2 linked regions of the Nothobranchius furzeri genome follow. The protein of the gene in region 1 purifies or fractionates together with the protein of each later gene. This does not show direct contact. Links are inferred from orthologs where the notes say so. Each region holds a gene or a part of one and is shown on either strand. Other genes may lie near its edges.

Region 1 (6,239 bases):
TCTTTCACAGTACCTCATGAAAACTGTTTAAAGGCACAAGTACACCAGTCTTGGCTGTTCTTAGACTAGCCGTTAGCTTATCAGTCCCATAGAACGTATTCTCTAGTTCACCAAGCGGAGGCTGTTCGTGAAGCTTTTGACAAGAGCTGAGAAGATAATTTACGAGACTTACGTGCAAAGGATGGACTGATCCTCCCGATCTGTTAGAGAGAGAAGTTTCGGTTCATGAAAGATGAAGATGTGCTAAAGTTCAGTCGTTAGCTAACGGTAACATCATGTATAACGGGCGCGGTTTACGCCGTCTCACCCTGCATCATGCTCCTGTAGGCCGTGTCTGTGATGGCGTAGATGTGGGGGGGCATCTCATGTCTCTTCTTGCCCTTGTACATGTTGACTATCTCCTCGTTGTAGATGGGCAGGTTCTTGTAGGGGTTGATCACCACACAGAACAGACCGGAGTACGTCTGGATCACAGCGGGATGGCAACGTTAGAGAGAACCTCTGAATCCGGTGAGCAGCAACGGATCGGAACACTCACGTAGATGAGTCCCGAGTAGTATCGCTCCTTCAGGTTGTGCAGCACGGAGGCTTCGTTCAGGCAGGTGAGCTCTGCCATGTCCTCCACCTTGCTGAATTTGGGAGGATTCATTTTCTGGATATCATCTTTGTTGACCTTCACCTAAGATTTAAATAACCAAGCAGGAGGTTTGCCATTTGCCGCAGACAAGACTCCAGAAACACAAATTGAGGTTTGATCCTCACCTTCTTGCCAGAGTCCGACAGCTCCACCACACACTCGTCTCCCTGCTCCTCCTTCAGCGAGCCGGCTTCGTAGCCCACCTTCTCACTGGGAACCCACACCAGCTTCTTGGAGGCCCAGTCGGCCTGAGCCAGGGGGTTGTTGACCTCGCTGCGGTCCCCATACAGGAACTTGTCTGCATCAGTCATGGTGGCTGCAGGACGCAAAACAGAGTTTAATCAGATGAGTCAAGACAAAAGAAAATAGACTAGTAGTTAGCTCATCAGTCCCAAAAAGAAACTCCATTTCTCTAAACAAAGGCTGTTCAGGAAGCTACACAACAGGTAGGATCATTATTTATAAATTTTACACGTGAACACCACAAAAATCACCATTTCTATTTAATTCAGGCAGTTTTAGATTCTCAAAAGAAGATTTGATTGTAAAATCTACTCGATGCTCCACCCGGCGTCTGACGCTCAGGAATTTGCCACCAGGTTTCTGTGTGTGTGATTAGATCAAATTGCTTCATATCTCAAATCTAAAATTACCAGAACTTTGCAGTTTCCTGAAAATAAATCCCTAAATGTTGATGAGTCAGAGGGACTGAACAAAAACATTCGTGCTCAGGCAGGAACCAGGGCTGCTTGGCGATGCGGTCAGACTGGGGTTTTAATTCAAATCGGCATCTAGATGAAGATTTCTGCTACAGGAGAGCGTGGGAGGAGACCGCATCAAAGATATGATCATAACGCAGACATTCTGCAACCACTAATGACTTTTCGGACGAGCTAAGCGTTTAGGGTCTCAGAAACAACGTGGCTGTGGCCGAGACTCTGGGCGCAGATGGCCTTAGCTCTGGGTCTATTCTGACTCACCAATAATCAGACGTGTTCGGCTTTATCCGTCGTTTTCCTGTTAGCCGAGTGTTTTTGTTACATTAGAGAGGCTGTTGCCTGTTGAAACAGAGGATTAATCATATTTAGCACAGCTGAAGAGCTTCGGTGTATCTATACTGGGAGCTGTTATTACTGCAGACTCAAATCACCCTGAGGTGTCAAGTTTATATAATGACTTTGAGCTCCTCGTGTACACACAGAGCTGAGGCGTGTGCACTCCGATCCACAAACACGGGAGGCACGGGACAGGTTTGGACACATCTTCTAAAACAGCTGTTTGAAGTTTTCCACTGAATCCTTCTGAGTGAACACGGAGCATCTTTTATCCAAAGCTGGTTGGAATGAGACAACACTCCACACAGATGACGCTCCACAGCTAAGGTCCATTAAATTACTCTTTTTAAGTCTTCAACACGACTCTTCTTCCTCTCCATTTCCACGACATTCCTTCTTCACCTTCTCATTATAGAGAATTCCACAAATTCCCAACCCCTCATCGTCATCTTCAACCATCCGTTCACTTTTCAAACTTCCAGAGCTAATGAGCAGCCTTTGTGTCCTGCTCCGTGTTCCTGGCGTTTGCTGTTCAAACTGTAAGAAGGTTCTGATGGAGACCCTTGGATTGGTGCTTTGGAGGTGGAGGAATGTTGGAGCAGGTCTGGGCACATGCCATATCCAGACCACACCCTTACAACCCCTCCAGCCCCACATCAGATAAAATTCTATGTTCTGGACGGTCAGCTGGGTCCTTGGAGAACAAATATTTATTCAGATGAGCTACTTCCACGTATGGATGATGAAAGAGTGTGTGTCTGTGTGTGTTTATAGAGTGAGGGATAAAGGGATCAGTGCACAGGGTGTCATCTGTGTCTCCCTTAAGTTCATTATGAGCTCAGACTCTTGGAGATCAGAGGGAGAGGACTGACATCCTGCAGCGTCCAGATCACCAGCACCGACCCAGAAACGCTTCATCTGTGTGAGAACTTGTGATGCTTCATGAGGGTTTGTGGTTTTGCTGCTGCTGAACTAACTTCTGCAGGAAGTTACACAAACTCTCCCGCAGCTCTTTGAAACGACTAAAGGAGCTGCTGCAGTCTGCTAAGGGTGTGTGCACGGTCTGCACCGCTAATCCTTTGTGCTCCTTGGCACGTTTTCTGCAGCATCACCACTGAACTGATCTCGGCTGTTTGCCAATCTGCTTCTTATCCTGGCACACGCTCGCCCGCACGCACACACACACACACACACACACACACACACACAAGACTGGTGTGAGGTCCTCTTGTCCCTGCAGACTATAATGAAGCAGGTCTTGTTTGTGATGATGAACCTAAAGAGGAAGACTCATTTCACAGAAGTCAGGCTCGGCCTGAACCCGGCCTGGCTGAGGAAGTCCGTCACTGATTGTAGATAACTGAAGCCACAGACCAGCCCTGCTTGCTGTCTGAGCACCAGAACCAGAACTGGGCTCCGCTCATTTCAGGACTAAACTGATGCTCATCCCATAATCTACACATGCCTGTAGTAACCAGAAACCAGCATCTTCTGGTGTCACTTTAGGTGTTAAGTGAAATAAATTCTTTCATCTCAAGTTTGCACCAAATTTAGCTGAAACGGTTAAAAAAAGGGTTGTTGGCTCTAAACATCCTCTGACCAGAACACCTGGAGCAGGTGAGCTGCAGAAATCCCCATATTTAAATGTCCCTCCTGCAGGAGAAGAAACCCACTCACCTGGATCTCAGCAGCTGAGTTCTTCCTGGTTCCGTCTCTGCTCTCGGTTCCGGCTGACGTCTCGATCGGTGTCCCCTAGAGCCAAGAGAGCCCGTCTAACTGTTCGGAGCCCGACTTTAGCCCGGATGGACTCCGCGCGCCGCTCAGCTGCTCACTTTTTATCACTTCTCAGGTGAGCTCGTGGCCACGCCCACCTGTCGGCGGCTGCGCGCGCTGCTTTCAATGGCATCACGGAGCACGGAAGGGATTTCTGCACAGGGGTGCTTTTAACTCTCACTTTTAACTTACTTTTAGACGCGTTGGTGAATGTAATAAATCACAAAACACGGAAACAAATTACGTGTTGCCAGATAAATGCAGCTGAATGATTACCTCCAGTGTATAAACACACCTCTATGCACCGAAACACACACCGAATATTCAAATGAGACAGAAAGGGGAATAAAAAACCAGCGAGCCCGTTTTTCCGGTTCCCAATGGGCTTCAAAAACGTGGTTTCGTTTTATCAAAAATGCTTAATTTAATTTATGGTGATTTGTGACATTCGTACTGCGCAAAAATTCCTCAAAAAAGTTTTTTTTTTTAACGGGCATACATTTAAAAAGTCAGTCCCAGTATTTAAAACTCTTAACCTTTCTGATGGAGTCCACATAGAAACATCTGCAACAGCTGGAAGCTCTGACACCGTTCTGTTTATGGGGTTCTAACTAGTCCATCAATTCCAAATATCAAAATCAGGGGCGGTTCTAGGCCAAATTTTCCAGGGGGGCCACAGTGGGGCCAGTATTTTTTCATGGGGGCGCAAGAAAAAAAAGGGGAAAATTAGGGCAATATCAAAATTCTTTTTTGTCGTCGCCATATGACTAATTTTGTGCTTGTACACAATTTTGCCAAAGGAAATTCATTGATGTCAGGAAAATAAACTGTATTGCTTGCCTTCGTCTCTCAGCGTCTTTTCCGTTAGTTGTCCTCAAGAATTTCTTTGGGTCCCATTTAAACTATTCTTAATCTTTTATTCAAAAATCCACCGGGTAAACAGTTCTGTCCACAGAGTGTGCTGCACTCTAAAGGCTCCGTGTGAAACGCTGCAGCGCATTAGTTCCCGTCTCCGAGGCAGCGCGGGGGGAAAAATCCGATCTCTTCAGCACAGGGGCCATAACAGGGGCCAGGGCCAGTTCTATAGGGGCCCAGGCCCCTGTTTAAAACCGCCAATGATCAAAATAAAAGACTCGGGTTAGCTTTTTTCGCAATGAAAGATTTCTGCAGAAGAGCTAATCCTCTACATAATCTCCTACTGCTCCACCTCAATGTTCCCGATCGTTGTTCTACAAAAAGATCCATTTCAGACTCATCTGTCCCAGTTTGCTTGTCTGTTAGCTGAATCTCTGCTGAAACTGAGATAACATGGCTGCCGCACAAACAGCACTACCTCAGAGCTAAATATTCACATTAGCAGCTGAGAGTCGTGCACAACAGATGGTGTGAGTGCTAGTTGTTTAAGATCTTGGTATGTAGGATCGTGCCATCTTCAAGGTTGGACCAAATGGATGCAAGTCCATCTGTAGGAGCCATATGGGTCTTTCATTTTCTTTCTGCATACATGAGAGGAGGCTTGGCCTCATTTGATTGGTCAAATTGATTGTGGAAGCACCAGCCTACTTAAGCCAACACAGATTAGACTCTGGTGTTGCTGTGATGGCACAAACAGTTTTTTATTGTGTGGCGAGGACTGCGGCTGGGTGTAAAGGACCCTGCGGACTGTCATTGGGGCAAGTAACGCATTCACTGTAAACCACTTTAACTGCTGTGAAAGGATCGTGGACATTTGTGGAACAAGACGAAATAATGAACATCATCGGAAATAAACACAAGCTGCAATTCTTTTAAACACACGTAAAGACCACCACCCGCATCAGTAGCCAGTAGCGCCAGTGTATAGGGCATTGGTATTACACCATCACTTTTGAGGATCTCTGTCTAAGGCCCTGTCCACACGTAGCCGGGGATCTGCCAAAACATAGATATTTTTCTTTCACACGAAAACGGATCTTTTTAAAAACTCCGGCCAAAGTGAAGATCTGCGTTTTCTCCGTTTTGGGTGTCTGCGTGTGGACAGACAAAACCGGAGTTTTAAGGTCCGCAACGTCACTTTCCACGACAAAAAAATGCTGACATCACGTGTGCGACCTGTGTTTACACTAGCCGACAGCATGGATGCCCTCAGAGCTGCGCTCGCTTTATCAATTGTCCAAGCGCTTTTTGCTTGTTTGTTTTTGCAAGCGGAATTACTGCTCCTTGCGGAAGACCACAGACGAAGGACGAGGTTAAGAACGGGGGAAGTACTGCCCCCTACAGGTCTGGCATGTCCTTAACAACGTATTTATCCGGGTACGTGTGGACAGAGTTTTTTTTAAAACGAGGTGGTGTGGATGCAAGTTTTTGGAGGGACGGATGTTCGTTTTTTTTTTTAAACGGCTACGTGTGGACTAGGCCTAAATCTCTGACATGTGAGGTCCTGCAAGGAATGTCGAGACTTTCTTGACAGTGTAGGTTCTGTCACTCTCTAAAAAGTGTTAAAGCTGGATCATTTGTCTAAAAGTGATTTAAATGGGACTAGAGATTTGTCTGGAGTTAATGTGAGGTTTTTATGCTAAAGTTGCCCTCTGCAAAAATACAACACACCTCAGACACACACAACCACAAAGCTGGGAGGCTAATGTGATGTTAAAGAGCCAGTAGATGTGTGTTAAATTTGCAGGAATGAAGAATTTCCTCACCATCTTGCTAAAGAGAAGCCGGGGCGTGGCAGTGCTGTTGCTGCTGCTGTGTGGAAACATGAAACAAAACTCCTACCAGGCCACGCGGAGGAC
Region 2 (5,674 bases), about 15 Mb from region 1:
GTTTGGCAAGTTTTCCTCAATGAAATGTGGAATAATTAGAATTTCCTCAAATACTAATGTTCCAGGAATGTTTGAGCAGCTTGATTTCCAAACACACACGCAAATGAGTCTGAAATCAAATAAATCATTGAACATCTTTCTCATTAAAGGGCAAACATTGTCCTAAAATGTGTCATGCAAGTGAGCAGAACTTGCGAGAACTAATTTACCAACCAGGTAGCTCTTCAGACGGATGAACTCCACCCTCGTCTCCAGGTACCGGTTGGAGCTGCGACCAAGAATCTTAATGAACTCCACCAGATCTGAGCAGAACTTGTAGCCTCCCTTCAGGACGCACAGAACCACGATCTTACTGTCCTCAAAGTCGTCCATAACGTATCGGGCCAGGCGCTCAATCCTGGAGGAGGAATCAAAATCACACCAGGGATGGGATTTCCAAGAAATCAACCAGCTCATGCGGGCTCCTACCTGTCCATGATGATGCCATGAGGGATGTAAACGTTCTCAATGTCATGGTGGTAGTGTTCTGGGTAGGTGAACAGGTCCAGACTGTAGCCGGGCCAGTCGTCTTTAATCTGAAGGAAACAAAATACTAAGGGCAGAGCTCTGCAGGTCCTACAGCAGCTGATGCTGTTTGGAAGCACATTGAACTTTTTAATAAAGCATTATTTTGTTGATTTTTTTTTAAAGCTTTGTTAAATTTTAGGTTTAATGAGATGTTGGTACTAAAATGTGTTCAACCAAACTGTGAGAACATCAGCGGGTACAGCGCTCTCAGAGAGCTGCTCAAATAATACAAAAAACATTTTTATATCTACAGAGAGGAAAAATAGGGGATTTTTAAAAATGTTCTTATGCATAAAAATCATTACAAAATCTAAATAAATAAACAAATAAATAAATCAGACTTTTTGTTTAACTTACCACAATTCCTCTTTTCATGTCTCCATCTTTCACTTGTGCTGACATGATGAAGACCGTCTGCACTGCAGGTTTATTCACCTTTAAGGGGATCACAGAAGCAGCTCTAGCCCAGTGAATTTATACTTTAAATGAAGAAAGTTAAGAACAAAAGTGGAGAAGGTACATATCCATCTGAAAAGAGCTGATTAATAAATCCTCTCGCTGTTGTGCTCCTGTAGCAGCAGCTGGCGAAGCAAAGAGGGAAAAAGGAGAAATGTCTAGGGAAGTCGTGTCCTTTCACGTGGGCCGTGCTATCACACTTGAGTCGTTTTGGTAAAAGAAAGGCTTTGTTTGGGTCAAGGAGACTTTAAATGGATAATCAGACGCATGTGATGCTACGCTGGCCGACCGGACGCAGACGGAGGGGGATGGAAATGAAACAAACTGCAGAAATTCGCTTCAGTTATGCCCAATTCACTCAGAAGCGTCATTCTAAAAGCTGCTCACTGAACTCATCACTGATCCAGAAGCTCCTCCACCTTCCTCGTTAATTCAGTTCCCCTTCAGAAACTTTTCAACAAGATTCGGAGCAACATATGCCATCCTTGATAAGGTTTTATTCATTTCCTCCAGATAATGTTGGCCATCTAAAACAATCCAGAGTTTAAAAAGGACGTTATTTCAAAATAAAACACCAACGTGTGGAATAATTATCAATTAAAGGAAATTAAATAGATGATATTAGAGTTTCCAACAGTCAGTGCTGTCTGAGACTAATCTTTGGGTTTGTAGATGATTGTGTACGTCTCAAAGTAGCTGATGTCCTTCTCCAGCTGACTCATCGCCTCTTCCAGCCTTTTCTTGTGGGCTTTCTTCGAGAAGGTGTCGATGATGAGAGGAAGGCACTGGTACTCACGATGAAAATGATCCCATCTCTTCTTCAGCCCCTGGAGGAGATACATGAAGAGGAAACAAGACATGATGGTTGGGTATGATCTCTCATGGCCACAGTTTAAGAGGTTTGGCTTGGTTTGAGCACCTTCAGTATGGACTGTCGCTCCTCTTCTGACAGGCGCTTCTTAGCTTCCTGCTCCTTCTGCTCCGCTATGAAGCGTTCATACTCCTCCTGAGTCTTAGTCTCTTCTTCTCTGCGCTTCTGCAGGTATGCAGGTACTTCGCCATAATCCTGCAGGGAAACCTTTGGTTTGCCTTGGATCTGACGCTAAATTTACCATTCAGTTTTGTGTTTTCGTTGTGGTAAATAATACCTGTTTCAAGACGTATTTGGGGACAAGTCCAGACTGTTCTAGGAGCTGCTTATCTCCTTTCCTACTGTCTACAGAAGCGGGCGTAGGCTTCACCGGCACTGCAACAGTTGTTTGTGAAAAATCCTTCTTGGTGTGAATCTCCATCGGTGGGATGTCCGTCCTTTTAGGTACTGGTGGCTTTCTCACAGTGCAAGTGCAAGTTCTGAGGCACTTTTTGGAGCACTCTGTCACTGAGGGATCGCAAAAAACATGTCAGGCATGACTAAAAGACCAATCTAAAAATGGTTCATTACAAGAACTCACCTTCAGGCAGTTTGGGCTCCTTTGAATGCTTCTTAAGGAACTTGTCTGGAGATGGCATTTCCACGTTCGCTGGTCCCATCGTCTTCATCGAATCTTTGGTTGCCTTGTTCTCAAGAATGACAGCTTGTCTGAACTTGGATACATACCTTTAGGAACATTTCAGAACATTAGAAAAAATAAGTTGGGTTAAAACAGAGTACATGTCATGATAATAAATGCAGTCAGGTTATAACCTGGAATGTATCTTTGACTACACTCTTATGATTTTATAGAATACCTACTGGTGTTTATGACTTTGATTTTGTTTCGGTAAATTTATTTTACAGGTTAGAACAGCTTTACAATTTCTACGATGAACTTTTCCTGCCAGGCTACAGATTTCATTATTGTAACCGAATTACATAAATTAGGGGTTTGAATGCTAAACTATAAAACAATTTTTTATGTCATTGTGCTTTTCTTTATGTAAAATAAGTCATTTGTAGGGTGTTAATTTATTTATTTAGGCAGCAAAAAGTAATACAAAAGTAAAGACGTTTAAACTATTTAACACTTTGACGACCCAATGTAAGAATACTAACCTCGGCGCTTTTTGAACTTTGCTCTCTTCCTTTGACAAATGGTTGTAGACGCTTTCTGGTGGCTGTTGAGAGTCCGACATGTTGACAATTTAATAAAAGCACGATAGTAAAAAGGTTTAATTTGACACTGGAGTTCAGCAACCGAAAAAATGAACGACTGCCTTGTTGCTAGGTAACCGGTTCCTCCAAACGCGGCATTCCAGGACAGTTTGGAAATATTCAAACCGTGCTTGCACATCGCGTTGTCAAACAAACACTTAAAGTCTCTAAAACAATTAAAAGAGGCGGTTGATTGTGAACGTACTTCTAAGATAAGATGAAATAACTCTAATTCTGAAATTCGTCAAACTTCAGTCAAACAGTCGATGCTTTGGAATGGAAAACACTAAATTCCGAGCTTCCTATTCGGTTTGGAATGCAACACCCTATTTTTCATGTGTTAAATTGTGTGTGTGTGTGTGTGTGTGTGTGTGTGTGGGGGGGGGGGGGGTCGAAATTATGCGTTTTCGAACTCGCTCTTATGCTGTAACTTTACGTAACAGTACTTATTCATGATCCTAAAGATACATGCCAATTTATGCCGTCAAATATATTTTTACAAAAGTTATTTGCGAATTTGACAATTTTGTCCCAGTATGCTTGCTGTAGCAGTCATTGGAGGCATGCTAAAGCCGGAGCGAAAATAGAAATCGTTGTCACGTGAGTGTTTGTATTGTAGATACTTTATGCTAGCTAGCTAACCGTAAGTAAGCCAGACCTCCTTCGGTTTTTACGGGCGCAACTACAAGATAAATTACGGTGTCCTCGTTTGAGAGTGCCTTTAGTTTTAGCTAAACGTCTCCAATTACCAGTTTTGTTCATTTGTTATGATGGAAAGTATACCATTGTAACCGAGCCTTCCATAAAGACACGGTAGAAGATATAGGATTGTGGTTGCTCAAGAAAAGGTTGATAACCGTGAACTCTCAGGGTCGCTATATTTTAAATAACACCATTAACAACTCCGCTCCAACTTCTGTTGTTTTTCTCTTTTCAAACATCACATCCTGTCAGCAGCACCTTCAAAATAAAAGTCCCATAAAAGTGGGTTACACCATCATAAACCATAAAAATGCCCACTGTACCTGGTCAGAAACTCCTGGTTTTTGCTTCTGAAATAAAGACGGAATTGTTTTGTTAGTAACAAAAGTTTATAGTTCCATAATGGGCCCAAATGTAAAATTTGATGTCACTGATTCTGGTGTGATCAAACTATGAGTCTAAAATCATAATATTTCAAGTATAGTGTTTCAACATGTTTTTATTATTTTTTTTCATAACGTGCAAATTTGTGCATTAATAAAATTAACTGATATGTTTCACTTACCCAGGGTCAACAGCTGCTTTCCTTTTCCTGAATGGCTTTACTACACGCAGGTCTGCTTGCACTAAGAGCTGCCAGATGTTACCTGTGTCCACTTTCAACATCAAAATCATGGCTTTCCACCAAAGCTAGCCCACTGGGGGACACAAACATCCTCCTCATGGGCCCGCCTGGAGCAGGAAAGACCACGGTTGCAAAGATAGTGGCTCATAAACTGGGAATTCCTGTCATTGACATTGACATCGACGTCTTGGAGACGACGTGGAAGATGCCCGTTGCAGCTAAACTAGCAACAGTAGGTGGACAGCGTTTTTTAGAGGAAGAAGGTCAGGCTTTGTGTGGCTTCTCAGCATCCGGGTGTGTTGTGTCACTGACGGGTTCTAACCCTCTCCACACTGAGGCAATGCAGCATGTCACACAGAGCGGACTCGTCATTTACCTTGACGTGGACAGTGACGATATAATTCAGAGACTCGACAGGATGAAGGTGAACAGGATTGTGGGTCAAGCAGCAGGAGTGTCCATTAGAGACATTTTGCTTTACAGGAAGCAGTTTTATGAAAAGTGGCTTGACTTGCGGGTGTTTTGTGGAAGAGGAGACACGGTGGAGGAAGTGGTGGAGAAGGTGCTGCTGGCTGTGGAGCGATATCAGAAACGGGATGAGGAAACGTACGTGTCTACTAGGTGTGATGGCGCAGAGCTGGACGGACACAAAACATATTTCACTAATGTGGTGGTGGAAGGCCTGGCTGCTGATGGTGGCCTGTATGTTCCTAAAAAAGGCTTTCCCAAGATTAGTAAAAAGGAATGGCTCAGATTGGTTTCAATGACATATCCAGAGCGAGCTTTAGTTTTACTAGAAAAGTGCATCCACCCGTTGGACATCTCTGCTTCTGATCTCAGAACAATGATACTTAAAGCGTACGGGTCTAACTTTTCTAGTGAGAGAGTTGCGCCTGTCAAACATCTCATCCACAATCAGTATGTTCTGGAGCTTTTTCACGGCCCTACTGCCTCATTCAAGGACTTGGCCTTACAGTTAATGCCTCAAATCTTTGCTCACTGCCTCCCACCATTGTGCAACTTCCTCACACTGGTTGCCACGTCAGGAGACACCGGCAGTGCTGTGCTGAGCGGCTTCTGTCAACTTACTGGCGCCGATAGACACCGGACCGGCGTGTTGGTGTTTTTCCCAGAAGACGGAGTCAGTGAGATCCAGAAGCTGCAGATGATGAGCCACAAGGCAGGGAACGCCA

The links. Proteins that work in one complex are often made in the same cells at the same time.
Region 2: the proteins of myosin-9 (region 1) and enkur purify together in Homo sapiens (affinity purification with western blotting; 4 studies listed by BioGRID, with this or other methods). This does not show direct contact. The link is inferred for Nothobranchius furzeri from reciprocal best matches to the Homo sapiens genes MYH9 and ENKUR.

Annotation. Positions count from the first base shown.
Region 1 is NC_091747.1:73,544,152-73,550,390, reverse strand, and holds the start of myosin-9, read right to left. Parts: upstream 3,504-6,239; 5' UTR 3,370-3,503; intron 954-3,369; 5' UTR 949-953; coding exon 763-948; intron 680-762; coding exon 539-679; intron 465-538; coding exon 308-464; intron 201-307; coding exon 173-200; intron 1-172. UniProt on the Homo sapiens protein: Cellular myosin that appears to play a role in cytokinesis, cell shape, and specialized functions such as secretion and capping. Required for cortical actin clearance prior to oocyte exocytosis. Promotes cell motility in conjunction with S100A4.
Region 2 is NC_091747.1:58,838,531-58,844,204, reverse strand, and holds enkur (enkurin), read right to left. Parts: upstream 3,243-5,674; 5' UTR 3,136-3,242; coding exon 3,056-3,135; intron 2,621-3,055; coding exon 2,475-2,620; intron 2,402-2,474; coding exon 2,172-2,401; intron 2,090-2,171; coding exon 1,943-2,089; intron 1,851-1,942; coding exon 1,677-1,850; 3' UTR 1,501-1,676; downstream 1-1,500. Other genes in the region: prtfdc1a (phosphoribosyltransferase domain-containing protein 1), read right to left, coding at 214-397, 469-575, 925-969. UniProt on the Homo sapiens protein: Adapter that functions to localize a calcium-sensitive signal transduction machinery in sperm to a calcium-permeable ion channel.